Canis lupus familiaris: one gene and its partners. The protein of the gene in region 3 purifies or fractionates together with the protein of the main gene of each other region. This does not show direct contact. Links are inferred from orthologs where the notes say so. Each region holds a gene or a part of one and is shown on either strand. Other genes may lie near its edges.

Evidence for each region. The genes of interacting proteins can lie anywhere in the genome.
Region 1: the proteins of ETAA1 (region 3) and ATR purify together in Homo sapiens (affinity purification with western blotting; 3 studies listed by BioGRID, with this or other methods). This does not show direct contact. The link is inferred for Canis lupus familiaris from reciprocal best matches to the Homo sapiens genes ETAA1 and ATR.
Region 2: the proteins of ETAA1 (region 3) and RPA2 purify together in Homo sapiens (affinity purification with western blotting; 4 studies listed by BioGRID, with this or other methods). This does not show direct contact. The link is inferred for Canis lupus familiaris from reciprocal best matches to the Homo sapiens genes ETAA1 and RPA2.

Annotation. Positions count from the first base shown.
Region 1 is NC_049244.1:38,756,085-38,760,639, forward strand, and holds the start of ATR (serine/threonine-protein kinase ATR), read right to left. Parts: upstream 2,941-4,555; 5' UTR 2,864-2,940; coding exon 2,805-2,863; intron 1-2,804. UniProt on the Homo sapiens protein: Serine/threonine protein kinase which activates checkpoint signaling upon genotoxic stresses such as ionizing radiation (IR), ultraviolet light (UV), or DNA replication stalling, thereby acting as a DNA damage sensor.
Region 2 is NC_049223.1:71,856,154-71,860,626, reverse strand, and holds the start of RPA2 (replication protein A 32 kDa subunit), read right to left. Parts: upstream 2,941-4,473; 5' UTR 2,759-2,940; coding exon 2,749-2,758; intron 2,513-2,748; coding exon 2,406-2,512; intron 1,163-2,405; exon of another isoform or gene 1,056-1,162; coding exon of another isoform or gene 916-1,055; intron 1-915. UniProt on the Homo sapiens protein: As part of the heterotrimeric replication protein A complex (RPA/RP-A), binds and stabilizes single-stranded DNA intermediates that form during DNA replication or upon DNA stress.
Region 3 is NC_049231.1:67,924,770-67,929,423, reverse strand, and holds the start of ETAA1 (ewing's tumor-associated antigen 1), read right to left. Parts: upstream 3,014-4,654; 5' UTR 2,879-3,013; coding exon 2,677-2,878; intron 2,460-2,676; exon of another isoform or gene 2,370-2,459; intron 1,381-2,369; coding exon 1,252-1,380; intron 984-1,251; coding exon 907-983; intron 1-906. UniProt on the Homo sapiens protein: Replication stress response protein that accumulates at DNA damage sites and promotes replication fork progression and integrity.

The sequences.
Region 1 (4,555 bases), on a different chromosome or scaffold from region 3:
TAGGATTGTCAGGACTTGCTGATAAGATTTTTTGGGTATAAGAGAAAGAATCAAGAATTCCGGCTAGCGGTTTAGCGCCACCTTCAGCCCCGGGTGTGATCCTGAAGACAGGGGATCAGAGTCCGGGATCAGAGTCCCCCATCAGGCTCCCTGCACGGAGTCTGCTTCAGCCTCTGCCTGTGTCTGTCTGTCTCTGTGTCGTGAATAAATAAATAAAATAAAATAAATAAAAATTCCTGGGTTTTTGGTTGGCACATTTACAATAACCTGGGGCAGGAACCAAGTTTAAGAACATAAATCAAGATGTAATGATGTAAATTTTCATTTCAGGTACAGATGTTCAACAGTAAGCAACCTAATATCTCTGGGTAGATAAATATTTGGGAGTTATCAGAATATAAGTGATATTTAAAGCCATGGGACTACATGAAGTTACTTAGGAAGAGAGTAAAGATGAAAAGAGGACAAAGGATGTAGCAAAGTCACATGGGGAATCAAGAATGATTCCTACATTTCTGGTTTGGAAAACAGAGTGACCATGGTATCACTTACTGAGATGTCCCTACCTCAGTGAATGAGAGGGAAAAAAAAAAAAGGGAGGTTAGGATACGTGAAGAAATTGTATTGACTATGTTGAGTCTTACACTTACCAACTAAGCCACCCAGGTGCCCAGCTATGTTGTCTTAATGGCATATAGGACACCCAGCTAAAACTGCCAGTATACAGTTGTATAAATATCCTATAGGAGGACACCTGGGTGGTTCAGCGGTTTAGCACCTGCCTTCGGCCCAGGGCATGATCCTGGAGTCCTGGGAACAAGTCCCTCATCTGGCTCCCTGCATGGAGCCTGCTTCTCCCTCTGCCTGTGTCTCTGCCTCTTTCTCTCTTTGTGTCTCTCATGAACAAATAAAATCTTCAAAAAAAAAATATTCTATAGGAAATGGATATGGTTTGGAGAAACATATTTGCAGTCATTAAATGGCAGATAGTAGTTAAAGACAGTGGATGGGATCACCCTGAAAGACTAGGCAGAGAAAAGAGTGCTCATAGCAAAAAACAGAAGCAAAATTCATCTCTGAGACAGAGCCGCCCACACATTAGAACAGTTAACATCTCACTTTTTTCAGAAATTGAATTGCCAGTCAATTAATGAGAAAAAAAGATGGGGGTGGAGAAAAGGCTTTGATTGCATGAATCTGGAACCCAACTCTGATAATGGCTACCTCTGACTTTGGTTCTTCAATTCCTGTGACTCAGTTTCTTACTGAATAGTGATAATATGTACTCTATTCTACATCATGGAGATACTGTGAGACTGAATAGGCAGGAATGAAGCAATTAAAATGAGAAACTCACGACTGTTAAAGAAAAGTAACGTAAGCTCCGGTGATGTAAGAGACTATAAATAAATCCAAGATACTATTATTTTTATTAACAACTCTCATTATGGAAAAAAAAAAAAAGAGGGTAGAAAGGCATTAGTTAATTCTACATGAAAACAAAATAGGAAAAAAAAAATATTGAGCTTCACATTGAGCCTCAAAAATGAAATCTGTACTTCAATGTCCTAAAACGAGCGCTTGTATTCATGTTAGTTTATAAAATGTTAACACAAAGTAGGCTTGCAACATTCATGCAAAGCGGGGAAAAAAAAAAAAAAAAACACAAAAACAGGATGATTCGGTAAAAACAAGAGTGGTTTCTTCATTTACCCTCTTATTTATGTGATCGAAGAAGACTAAATATTCTTGTATGGCCAACAAGTGGAGATGAATACATCTGCACCCCAAAAAGAAAGGAATTAAATACCCCACAGATTTTCTGTTAGCTCTGACTTTGTGTGCTAAGTTTTCAAAAAGCAATTACTCCAACTGATAGGTCAACTGCACTAGTGGTACAAACCCACTTATTTCTTCTTCGCAATGGGTTAAAACTCAAAAAAAAAAAAAAAAAAAAAGGCAAGCAAAATAAAAACCCTCCCTCCTTTAGGCCTGGTTGAGGGAAAGTTGCCAGTGTGCTGAAGGGGGGATGGCAGCCAGCCAGCAACAGCCTTCCCCTCTCTTCAGGTGGGACGGTGGTTTACGTGATTTTACTGTTCCGTTTACAGAAGGCGGGCTTTTGCAAATGAAACAGTATTGAATTATTTTTAAACTCTGGCAACATCTTGTGCACATTTACATTTTGGGGACGTCGTGGCAGATCCCTGGGATTTCTGACTAAAATAAACGGACTGGGCGCTGGATGACCAACAGGAAACGGGGCCCATCTTCAGGACGGCCTATGCTTTCATTTTGAAGAAGACCAAACTGCCTTTTCTAGCAATTGGCCTTCCTTCCACACCACACGAACCAGTGATTCTTTTCTTGTCAAAGAGGGGCAGTTTGGGTCAACACGTAAAGCTAAGAACCCAATTCCTCCACGAGCGATCACAAGGAGTAGAAAATGGGGCAAGTTCCTGGGTCGAGTCCCTCACCTAAGGAAAGAGGTCTGCAGGAAGCGAGCGGTCAGAAGGGGCGGGGGGGCAAGGCTCCCGGGCGCCGCTGAGGTACAGTGGGCTCGGCGAACAGCCCCTCTCGGGCCCTAGACCTGCTTCCCCAACGTCTGCGGCGACGCCCGCGTATTTTTAACCCCGTCTCGGGGGGAGACGTGCTCAAGCCATTGGCGAGACACACCGCCCGGGGCCGGGGTTGAAGGTTTCGGAGCCGGCACGCGCGCGGCTGGGGAGGGAGCGCACGTGAGAGGCCGGCCGGGCCGGGCCGGGCGGAGGAGACGCGGCACCCGGAGCGGCCGGGCCTGGCCCTACCTGCCCAACTCCCGCAGAGCGGGGATCATAGACGCCAGCTCCAGGCCGTGGTCGCCCATGCTGAGGATGCGCGGCCCTCGTCAACCGCGCGGCCGCTGCCTCCCGGCGTCTCCACAGCTACCTCGGGGCTGGGGGGAGGGGAGGGGCAGGCGCGGCGCCCGACGGTGTCTCGCCAGGCCCAAAACTCCTCCCGGAAGCCGCGTTCAGTCACGCTCTGCGGACCGGAATTCTTCTTCCGCGTAGGACCCGGGGGAGGCCGGGGGGCCGGCAAGGGGGCGGGGCCAAGGAGGCGGAGCGCGCAGGGGGCACGTTCCCAGCGCGGCTCCCGCTGGGGGCGTGGTTCGCGGCGAGTTTGGGGTGTTCGCGGGCACCCCGGGCTGCCCCCGTCCTAGGAGGCTCGGCGAGGCGAGACCTCCCCCGGGTTCTGGAAAAGAAACAGACCGGCCTCCCTCGCATCACGAAAGGGAGAATTGAGACCCTCCGGCGGGTGGAAGGCGTGACTCGATCCCGGGCCCCCCCACCCCTCGCCGCGCGTCCTTTTAGCGGGATACGGGGCTCCTCCCTGTCCTTCCTGTTTCGGCAGGGTGTTTTTCCCACGTGAAGTCAGACTTTCTTGAGGCTATTCCCGACTTTTAATATTTAAGAAGGGGTTTCGGGGATCCCCTGGGTGGCGCAGCGGTTTAGCGACGCCTTCAGCCCAGGGCGTGATCCTGGAGACCCGGGATCGAGTCCTGCATCAGGGTCCCTGCTTGGAGCCTGCTTCTCCCTCTGCCTGTGTCTCTGCCCCTCTCTCTCTCTCACTGTGTCTTTCATGAATAAGTAAATAAAATCTTAAAAAAAAAAAAAATTTAAGAAGGGATTTCGGGGATGCCCGGGTGTCTCAGCAGTTTAGCGCCGCCTTCAGCCCAGGGCCTGATCCTGGAGACCCGACCTGAGCCAAATCCAAGAGTCCCACGCCCAAACAGCTGTGCCACCCAGGTGCCAGCTTTTTTAAAGCTTAGATTAGATTGCACATATGAAAAAGTCGACCAACGAAAAAGCAACAGATGTTAGGTATTTTTAGATGATAGGAAGAAAGATTATAAAAACTACAATGTTATGTGGAAGGCAAAAACTAAAATAACACTGGAATTCTGAAAGGCAGTATACATTAGAAACATTGGAAACAATAGAGCTTTGGCAATCCAATTTTATTCAAAAAGTTATTTTTATGCAAGATTTTTTTGGGGGGGTACTTCTGTGACACAAAGATGAGGATGATGAAGTCTCAAGTAGTGTGCAAACTGGATATAGAAGGACATCATAGGAATTCAGAAATTGAAAAGCAAAGCAGAATCTGATGAATGCCATGAGAGAGATAAACATGCATTGGAAAAATATAAGAGGAAGAGATTAAATATACTGTGTGGAGAGGAGGTGGATGAGGAAGGGGCTCCAGGAGAATGAGGCACCACATTCTCCTGGAGATGGATGGGATGAGAATGAGATGGGATGGTGAAGGATGAGGATATGAAAAGACAAAGATTGGAGAAGAGGAATATATTTCTAATTAGAGGCAGCAGTATGAACAAAAAGCATATGGAGGGAGAGACTAGTGGTCCAGTTCAGGTGATATTAGGGAGCATTTCGAGTAGTCCCGCTGAGACCCTTGTACAAACCTCAGTAAGCACTGAAGAGGCACTGGAAGATTTGATATAAAGTGACAGTCAAAGCCACACTCAGATCTGGCGGGAGGGTGCAGGTCAGAACAA
Region 2 (4,473 bases), on a different chromosome or scaffold from region 3:
TGGACCTGTGTTCAATCCCAGCTCCATAGCCCTGGACATGCCACCACCAATTCTGTCCAGTGGACATCCACCTTTCAAATTCTAAACAAAACATACAATGTATATAAAAATACTAATGCTGATTTCTACGTGTATTATGTATTCAACAAACATTATCATTCCTCAGTTAAAAAAATTACGTATGGGTAATGCCTGAGGTGTTACCTATACCTTCAAATTTATCTCAAATCACAGACACTTGTTTTTTAACAAGCACCTATTATGATTGCAAGGAGTCCCTGGTTTGTTCCAAGAGATTCACAGAGAGTGTGCCAGGATAAGAATATTTAACTTAAAAATTATTTTCTAGCTATGAATCACAGGTTACTCTGACAGCACTGTATGAAAACACCATTTTTATGGGTAAAAAGTGGTCAGTACTGAAAATTTCACATGGTTCAATAAAATGTAACAGGTTTACAGTAGATAGGAAATTAGATAGGGTGTTTATCTAATTTACTGTGGAAAAGGCACTAGATTTAAAAACATAAAGATCTTGGTTTGAATTTCCTTTTTTTTTTTTTTTTTTAAATTTTTTTTATTTATTTATGATAGTCACAGAGAGAGAGAGGCAGAGACACAGGCAGAGGGAGAAGCAGGCTCCATGCACCGGGAGCCCGATGTGGGATTCGATCCTGGGTCTCCAGGATCGCGCCCTGGGCCAAAGGCAGGCGCCAAACTGCTGCGCCACCCAGGGATCCCTTGGTTTGAATTTCCAGCTTATAACCATCATCACTCTCTGAAAAGCTGTCTTAATACACAATCCAAGTTAGGGATCTGAGAGAAAAATTCTATCAACTAGAATGAAGAAAACAGTCAAGCTTAGAAAGATGAAAACCAATGGTCTAATTTTTGCTTTCTCCTTCACAACCTTAGGGAAGACAAAGAGTACGAGAGTCCCCTCTGGTCTTCCTGGGAAAAAGAAAACTGCAATAGAGAAGCTGCTCACCAGATTTTGGATTTGTGTCCCGTGTGTACTATCTAGTCCCACTTACTTACTAGCTATAGAAGCTTAGGCAGTCCCTCCATCTCCCAGAGCCTCTGTTGTATAAGGAAGTAAACAATACCTTATGGAATGATTATATGAAATTGTATGAAAAATATAAAGCAACGCCCAAATGTATGGGAATTATCAATGAATTCTTTCCCACCGACATACACTCCTGAATTAACGGTTTAGGTAAAAGCTTTTCAATCTGTATAAAAACCATAGAACCTGCTAATACTGAATCTTAACACCACATCTGAAGGACACCTAACAGAGTAGCCAAATCAACCTTGCATTTAAAGGATGAAATCAACAGTAGTTGTGAAATGTAAACTCATTTCTGAAAGGGTAAATAACAAGAATCTGGACATCTTTTTACAGATTGTTTCCCCATACATTACCTTATTTATTAATTCTCAGAACCACCCTGTGATTTAAGTAGTACTAGTACCAGTATCAGATGAGAAATACCAAGGGTCACAAGGTTCAAGTTGTGCCACTAAAGATACTGCCAGTGAGAAGGTGATTCTGGACACTATGTATTCTGGGTCCAACACTTGTGTTCTTTTTAACTAAAATATGTGGGATCAGGGGTGCCTGGCTGGCTCAGTCAGAAAAGAATGTGACTCAATCTATGGCCTCTATCACTGAGTTTGAGTCCCACGTTGGGTGTAGAAATTCCTTAAATAAAAACTTAAAAAAAAAAAAAGAAAAAAGAAATCTGGGACCATTTATTCAAAGTGACTACAGGGCAGGCACTTTATATATACCATAAACTAGAATATTAAGTCTCACAACAACCTGTAAGGTATGTATTATTAATCCCATTTAGTAGCAATCCCATCTGATTCCCAATGTTAAGAAATCTGTCCAATAAAACCCTGTAAATAGTGTTGGAGCAATGGTAGCACATAGATCTATCCAAGAACATGCTCTTTCCACAGCTTTTTATCACTTCATTACGTTTAATTAAAAAAAAAAAAAATTAGGGCAACCCTGTCGGGACCCCTCTCACTTCTGAGAGCTTTCTCCGTGTTTCTGCTTAATACTTCTACCGCTTTGCTTTAAAAAAAAAAAAAAAATCGATTACATGAAGAATGCAAAGTAGGCTAATACAAGTCCAGTTTTTCCACAAGACTGATTCATTAGCTACATTGGTAAATTTCAAAATAAAGCCGATTCAACAGTGGAAGTGAATGTAGGAGAAAGTTTATTTTTTCAAAAACTTCCAGCACTTAATTCTAAGATTCGGTAAGGCAAGAATTGCTAATTATCCAACCAGTTCAGGTTTGGAATCTTTCGCCGCATCAAGTTTCTCCCAGGGGTGTTAGGAGCTTCAAGACAGAAAGAAAGAAAACGAAATACTCTTTCAACCTACTGATTTCTTTTCAGCCTGCGAAGGTGTCGGCGATCCAAAGCCCCCCGGGGACTGCGTGTAGCCGCCGGCTCCGCTAAAGGCGGAGTTGCCGTAGCTCTCAGATCCGCCTGGTTTGAAACGGCAGTATTAGTGCCCGCGCTGCTTCCCGAGCCTCTCGACAACACCAGGCCCCCTCAGACTCCCCCCACCGCCAAGCACCCCCAGCACCGCGCTAACCTGTCCCACCGCCGTGCCCCGGCCCCCCGCCCCTTCGCCACCCTGTGCCTCCTCCACTCCCACCGCCGCGCGCCTCTCTCCGACCCCCGCCCTCTCGCTCTATCCTCCTCGCGACTCTCATGCTTACCGAACCACATCTTGGTCACTATTCCCTCAGGAAAGAGGTCCGCGACACTCCCGTCAGGTGGGCTCGCCGGACTCCTCAGAACCCTGTTGCGGCCGCAGTGCTAAGCGCACTTCCCGCTGGTGCCACAAACTCCTTCCCGCGAACGACGGAGCCAATCAGCGTCCAGGACGCTTCTGGCTTCAGCCAATCAATGCTCACGAACTCTACGCTTTTTCCTGTCTCAAGAAAACGCGCACTCTGTTTCCGATGGGGCCGGAAACCTCTACGGCCATTTTTACTAAGGGCAAAACAAGTTGCGTAAGCGGAAGCAAGGAGCGGCGAGAGGCTGATAGGGCCGTTTCTCAAAGTAACAACCAATCAAAATGACAATTACGAATCTCCGGCCGTATAATCCCCCCTCCCCCCCGTGAACGACACTTTACGTCACTTCCTTTGTTCGGCGTCTTCCTTTTCCCGCCAAACTGTCACCAATCAGATGACGCCTTAATCAACACAGCACCCCGCCCCGCAAAATTCTTGCTTCGGCGACTCCGCCTCGTCATCGTGCGGCGCTTGCGCACTCGGTGACCTCGCCACGCTGTCTGCGAGGCACGTGGTGGGATTGCTAGTTCATTAGCAAAAAACCAAAACAGAACAAAACAAAAAGCCAGGTTGTCTTCGTTTGTTGGCATTCCCTCGTCCTGATTTTCCCCGGCGAGGCTGCAGTAACATACACCTCTCCCCCAGGACGCCCCTGCCCACCTCCTGTCCCCTCTGCCTCCCCGATTGTTTAAACCATCCTTCACGTAGCAGTGTTCTGTCCCTCCTGTAGAGAGAGCACGTCGGTCAGCTCCTTCGCTAGATTGTTAGGCTCCCTCATGCCTCACTTATTTTGGTAAAAAGTATGTATTGCTGCCTCTTTTGTTCCAAGTTATGTGCTGGTCAGTGGGATTCAACAGTGAATGAGATAGGTACGGTCCCTGGGTTTCTGGGCCATTTTATTTTTCTAAAACTGCAGCCACTGTCTTAAATACTTCACATTTAGCAACTCAATCCAGTGAAGTGGATGCCGCTACGGTCTCGGTTTTAACAAAGGAGGCAGCCGAGGCAACGAGATGCTAAGTGGTCTGATTGCATCCACCAGTGTAGTCGCTGTACCTTCCTGAACATTCTAGAATTGGGGCACAAACTCAAGTTGACATGTGAGTCAGGCAGGAAAACTGTAAATGTAGTAGGTTGGATAATAGAGGGGATTTTATTTATTTATTTTTTTACTTTTTTTTCCTCCACAGTGACAAAAATAACCACACAAAATAAGGACGAATAGCAACTGACAAGGAATATGGTCTCAGTGGTGTCATCTATCTATATTTTTAGCAGACGCCAGAAATTTTGATTTTTGTCTAAAAAGTTCTGAATTTTAAGTGCGGGTAAATTTAAAAATTTAAAAACACCATGTGGGCCAGAGAAAAGGTATCTGTGGGCCAGACATAGCCTGCCTGCCACCCCTTACCTATGGAAATTCTGTAAACCTCCAAATCGAGATACAGCCAAGGACAGAAACCTGAGGCAAACATGAGGACGTTGTTATATTCAGGGTAAGGTGACTGAAATTTACACAGTGTAACAAATAAGAGCATATTTATGATATATAGGATAAAATGTTTGAAATTAAGAGGATTCTGGGAAATCTAAGATGTGGATTTGCTCGGGGTAATTGGGTTCATTTGGGGTTCGATTAGTTAT
Region 3 (4,654 bases):
CACTCTCCAAGGGTATGTCAAGGAAAAAATCCCATATTTCCTACAGAGAGGACAATGAGCAAAAATAAGATGTTTTCTGAATTTAAATATTGTTAAATAAGAAAAAAGAGAGGACAGTAAAGAGGTTCAGAACAGAAGCTGCATTACATTTATATTCCTATTTCATTCAAGCAGTAGAGGAACTGAAATAAAGAAAAAGGAACTTTTGAGAATGTTCTATGACAGCAAATAATTTAGCTATCATAATGAACTTTAAAATAACCTCACATTTATAGTGCTCTATGTTTATCAAGAATTTTTATCTAATTTAATCCTCATAATAGTCCAATGGAGAGAGCAAGCCAAGTAATAATTCTAGTTTATGGCTGAATGAACTAAAGTTCTGAGAGTTTAAGTGACTTGCTTATGGTCACCCAGTACAGGAAGTAGACAGAACTAACTTCGATCCAGTGTTCTTTCCACTTTTATGAGCATTTCTCAAGTATTAAGAACAATTTCAATTGGGAAAGAGTGTGCTATAGACAGCAAATACCAATCACAAATAACTTTAAAAAGCTTAAATTTTAATGTCTGACTGTATTATTCTAGTAACTGTAAAAATGATGCCATATATTGTCAAACAACATTAAGAACAAAATTAGCACAAACTTCTAGTCGAAAATCACTACTCTAAAAAAAAAATTAACAAAAGACACATACTTAGGAAAATATATATTGCCAATTATACATCATGTCCCTTTTTTCAAGACGTACATTCCAGTAGTACAAAGGGTAGAACCTTTGCTGCTCTGTTTTCAGAAAAGAGAATCGTAAAAGACGAAGCATTTCTCATCCAAGCGAACTACACGTGGGCCTAGTGGCATAGTTTTCAGTTTTAGAACAAGGTAGGAAACTAGCGATATTTACCTGAGGAGCAATACGATTAACGATATGTGAGATCTCATCACTATCTGCGGTGTAAATCTGTTTTTTTCTTCCTTTACCTAAAGAACAAAGACATTTCTCTAAGCGGGAAACAAAAAGATTAGTCTTTAAAAGTAGCAGACACTTCTTAGAAAACAATTTTAATTGGCACGGGCTTGGACCCGCTGTGCACTGATACCACAGGCCTATCATAACCATCACCCAAGATTCTCAAGACATCTGTTGTATGAAAGTCCTGTTATTACCCTGCTGAAATCCTAGAGTCAAATCCTCACCCCCTTGCCAAATATTTACCCAGATGGAAAATGTTAATTAGTAATAAATTACCTAACTGTTTCGTCATTGGAGAATTCTGATCCCAAAAGATATCATTCTGTCCGTCTGGATCATTAGGGGAACTGAAGGTAGAGGACAGTAAATCCATTCTCGGCACTCTCTTTGGGGTTTCATATCTTTCTACATAAAATAAGATTAAAAAAACAAAACAAACAAAACAATCGTTGCGTTGTTAAGCGTTACTTTACTTCCTAATACCCCAACGTCAGATATCCTTTAGACCATTTTTTTTTAATAGCCCAATTATATAATTTCCTCCCAGACAGGAGTATATTAACGACTGAAAGGTTTCACCTGAGAATCCTCGTGATGCTTCACAAATCTGACATCGTAAACAGCAAGTGTCTTGGGATAACCCAGTAAGTAGCCCTACCAACGTCCAGAAGCCAAGGCGTTCCGTTCATTACAACCGGAACCTGGCGGCTTTGGGAACCGCCTGTCATTTATGGCTGGCATCTTACAAACATCAAAAGGCTCCCGGCGGAAAACTACATTAGAAGTCTGTTTAGCCCCCTTTCATCACCACCTCTATCCGACTTACACTAATTACTTCCAAAAAAAAAAAAAAAAAAAAAAAGCAAAGCAGCTTAAATTATTTAATTTCCCATTTCCTGGGAAATTCTTAGCACCACTTTCAAATTCCCACAAACGCTGGTGTCTTGTTCATTCCAGAACTGCCTTGCGCGCGAGCCCATTGAACAGATGGGAACGTAGGTCGCGTTTTTGAGAACACGCTTTAAAGGAAGCGCTTTTGGGGGGGCGGGGGTCACAGTGTCATAAGATCCTACAAAAGACACAACAAGGGCGGGCGGGCAGGGGGGTGCTCATCGGGTTGGCGCCTGCCTCCGACCCAGGGCGTGACCCCGGGTCCCGGGATCGAGTCCCCCGTCGGGCTCCCTGCGTGGAGCCTGCTTCTCCCTCTGCCTGGGTCTCTGCCTGTCTCTGTGTCTCTAATGAATAAATAAGTAGAATCTTACAAAAAAAGAAAAAAAAAAAGGAAAAAGAAAAAAGACGGAACGCCAAAGATTGCCTGGGACGAAAGGGCTCGGCAGGGGCCCCGGCGTTCCTCGGGGTGACGTCACCACGGGCGTCCTGGGGTGACGTGACACGGGGCGTCCTCGGGGTGACGTCACCACGGCGTCCTCGGGGTGACACCACCCCAGGCGTCCGCGCGGTGACGTCAGACGCGGGGACTTCCGGTGAGTTCCTCACCGCCGAGCTCCGCGCGCGCGGGTCCCGCTGGGGTGCGCCGCCCCCCGCCCCCGCCCGGCCCCGTGCACGGCGCCGCACCGCGCGGCTCAAGCCTGGGGGTCGCGGCGGCGGCTCCCTCCGGAGGCTCCCCCCGCCCCCCGCCCCGGGTCTGCGCACTGCGAGCGGCGCCGGGAGCGCGGGGAGGCCGCGGGGCCGACGTCTCACCCTCGGGGTTACTTTTACTGCACGAAGCGGCCGCCGGAGGCTGCTCCCGTTGCCGCGCGGGCCGGGGACGCGGCTCTGCCGACCTCAGCCGCCTCTTCCCCGGCTCGGCCACCGAGCTGCCTTCCTCGGCCGCGGCCGCCGCCGCCTTGAGCGGCGTGTTCTTCAGGCCAAGGCTGTCCCCATGTTTCCTTCGCCGACTCATTGCCTGCCGCCCCCCTCCAGCCGCCGCCTCTCCGGTTCACATTTTGCAACGGGAGGAGCGAGGCGGCGGAGCTACACACGGGACTCGGCGCCAACGGCCGCCGCCATTTTGGCCGACGGGACGCTCGACAGGGGCGGCCGCTGATTGGCTGCGTGCGGGCGAGGGGGCGGGGCGACGGGGGGTGCCGGCGGCGCGCGCTTCCGCCTCCCGCCTCCGAGGCCGGGGGGCGGGGCGAGGGGCGGGGCCTCGGCCGGGCTGCAGGTGGCTGGACGTGGTTGTCAGGGCGCGTGCGCGGGGCCGCTCTTGGCTCAGCGAGTGCGGCAGGTGGAACAGGAGTCGGTCCCCTGGCAGGCAGCTTTGTGCTGAACCTAGGGCTGCAGTCACGCGTTGCTCAGATGTACAGAATTGTGGCTTTTAGTATTTTAAAGAAAGAAAGATCTAGATTAGGAAGGAAACACTAAGCTATTTTTTTTTTCATAGATGATGTATGCATAGGAAAAAAAAAAACTCCAAAAAGTATAGAAGCTATTAAATCTATAAATCAATGTAACGGACTTGCAGATGGGAGCTAAATATTCAAAGGCTGGTTGTGTTTGAACATACCCGGAACAAACACAGCACTTTTTTTTTTTTTTTTTTAAGATTTTATTAATGGCCGGGCGGGGGGGAAAAAAGATTTTATTTATTTATTAGTGCAAGACACTCACTGAGAGGCAGAGACCCAGGCAGAGGGAGAAGCAAGCTCCATGCGGGGAGCCTGATGGAGGACTCGAAACTGTGACCCCGGGGTCATGACCTGAGATAAAAGCAGACACTTAACTGACTGAGCCACCCGGCTGCCCACCTGCAGGTTTATTTTAAAATGTATATGGACATGCAAAGCACCAAAAATATCCAAGAAACGTTTGAAGATCTCTTGAGGAATAGTAAAGTTGGATATGTACCACACATCAAGATCTATAAAGTCATGCTGATTAAGACACTGGGGCGACCGGTTAAAAGGATAGGCAATCACGAAAGAAACTAGATGGCTCAGAAACAGACCTCTGCATACGTGGACAGTTGATTTAAGGCAAGGATGATACTCTTAAGCAGTGGGAAAAGGAGTTCTTGATAACAAATAGTGCTTGGTCGATTTGATATTCGCATGGAGGAAAAGAAAGAAACTTAACCTCTACGCTAAACCGTACCCCAAATCAAATCATGTGCAAGTTGATTGTATATTTAATTGTAAAAGATAAAATAACATTCTAAGAGATGATATAAATTGTCAACGACAGGACTGATTTTTAAATTGAACAGCAATGTCATTAACGTGGAAGAAAATAATTACCTATTTGACTACATTAGACTGATAACTGAAGAACTTAGGTCTATTGCAAAGACAGCGTTAGAGAATGGAAGGCAAGACACAGACTGGAAAAAGATATTTACCAGATGCCAAATGAGGGCTAATATGCAAAATATATGAAAGACGGATACAAATGCTAAGAAAATGATTGACCACCAATAAGAAAAGTGGGTCAGATACTTTTTTAGGAGGCTCTCCAAAAGAAAATCTCAATGATCAACAAGCTTGTTTAAGGGTGCTCAACTTTATTTGTAATGAGGAAAATGAAAGTTAAAACCATAATGCAATATTCACCCATCAGAATGGCTAAAATCATGAGTGACAATAGAGGTATCAAGGAAGGGAACCAGAGATGATATCACAGCCCCAGCCAATACCTTGATTGTCGCCTGTGGGGATCCAGCGCCTGAGGGCACAACCAGTGG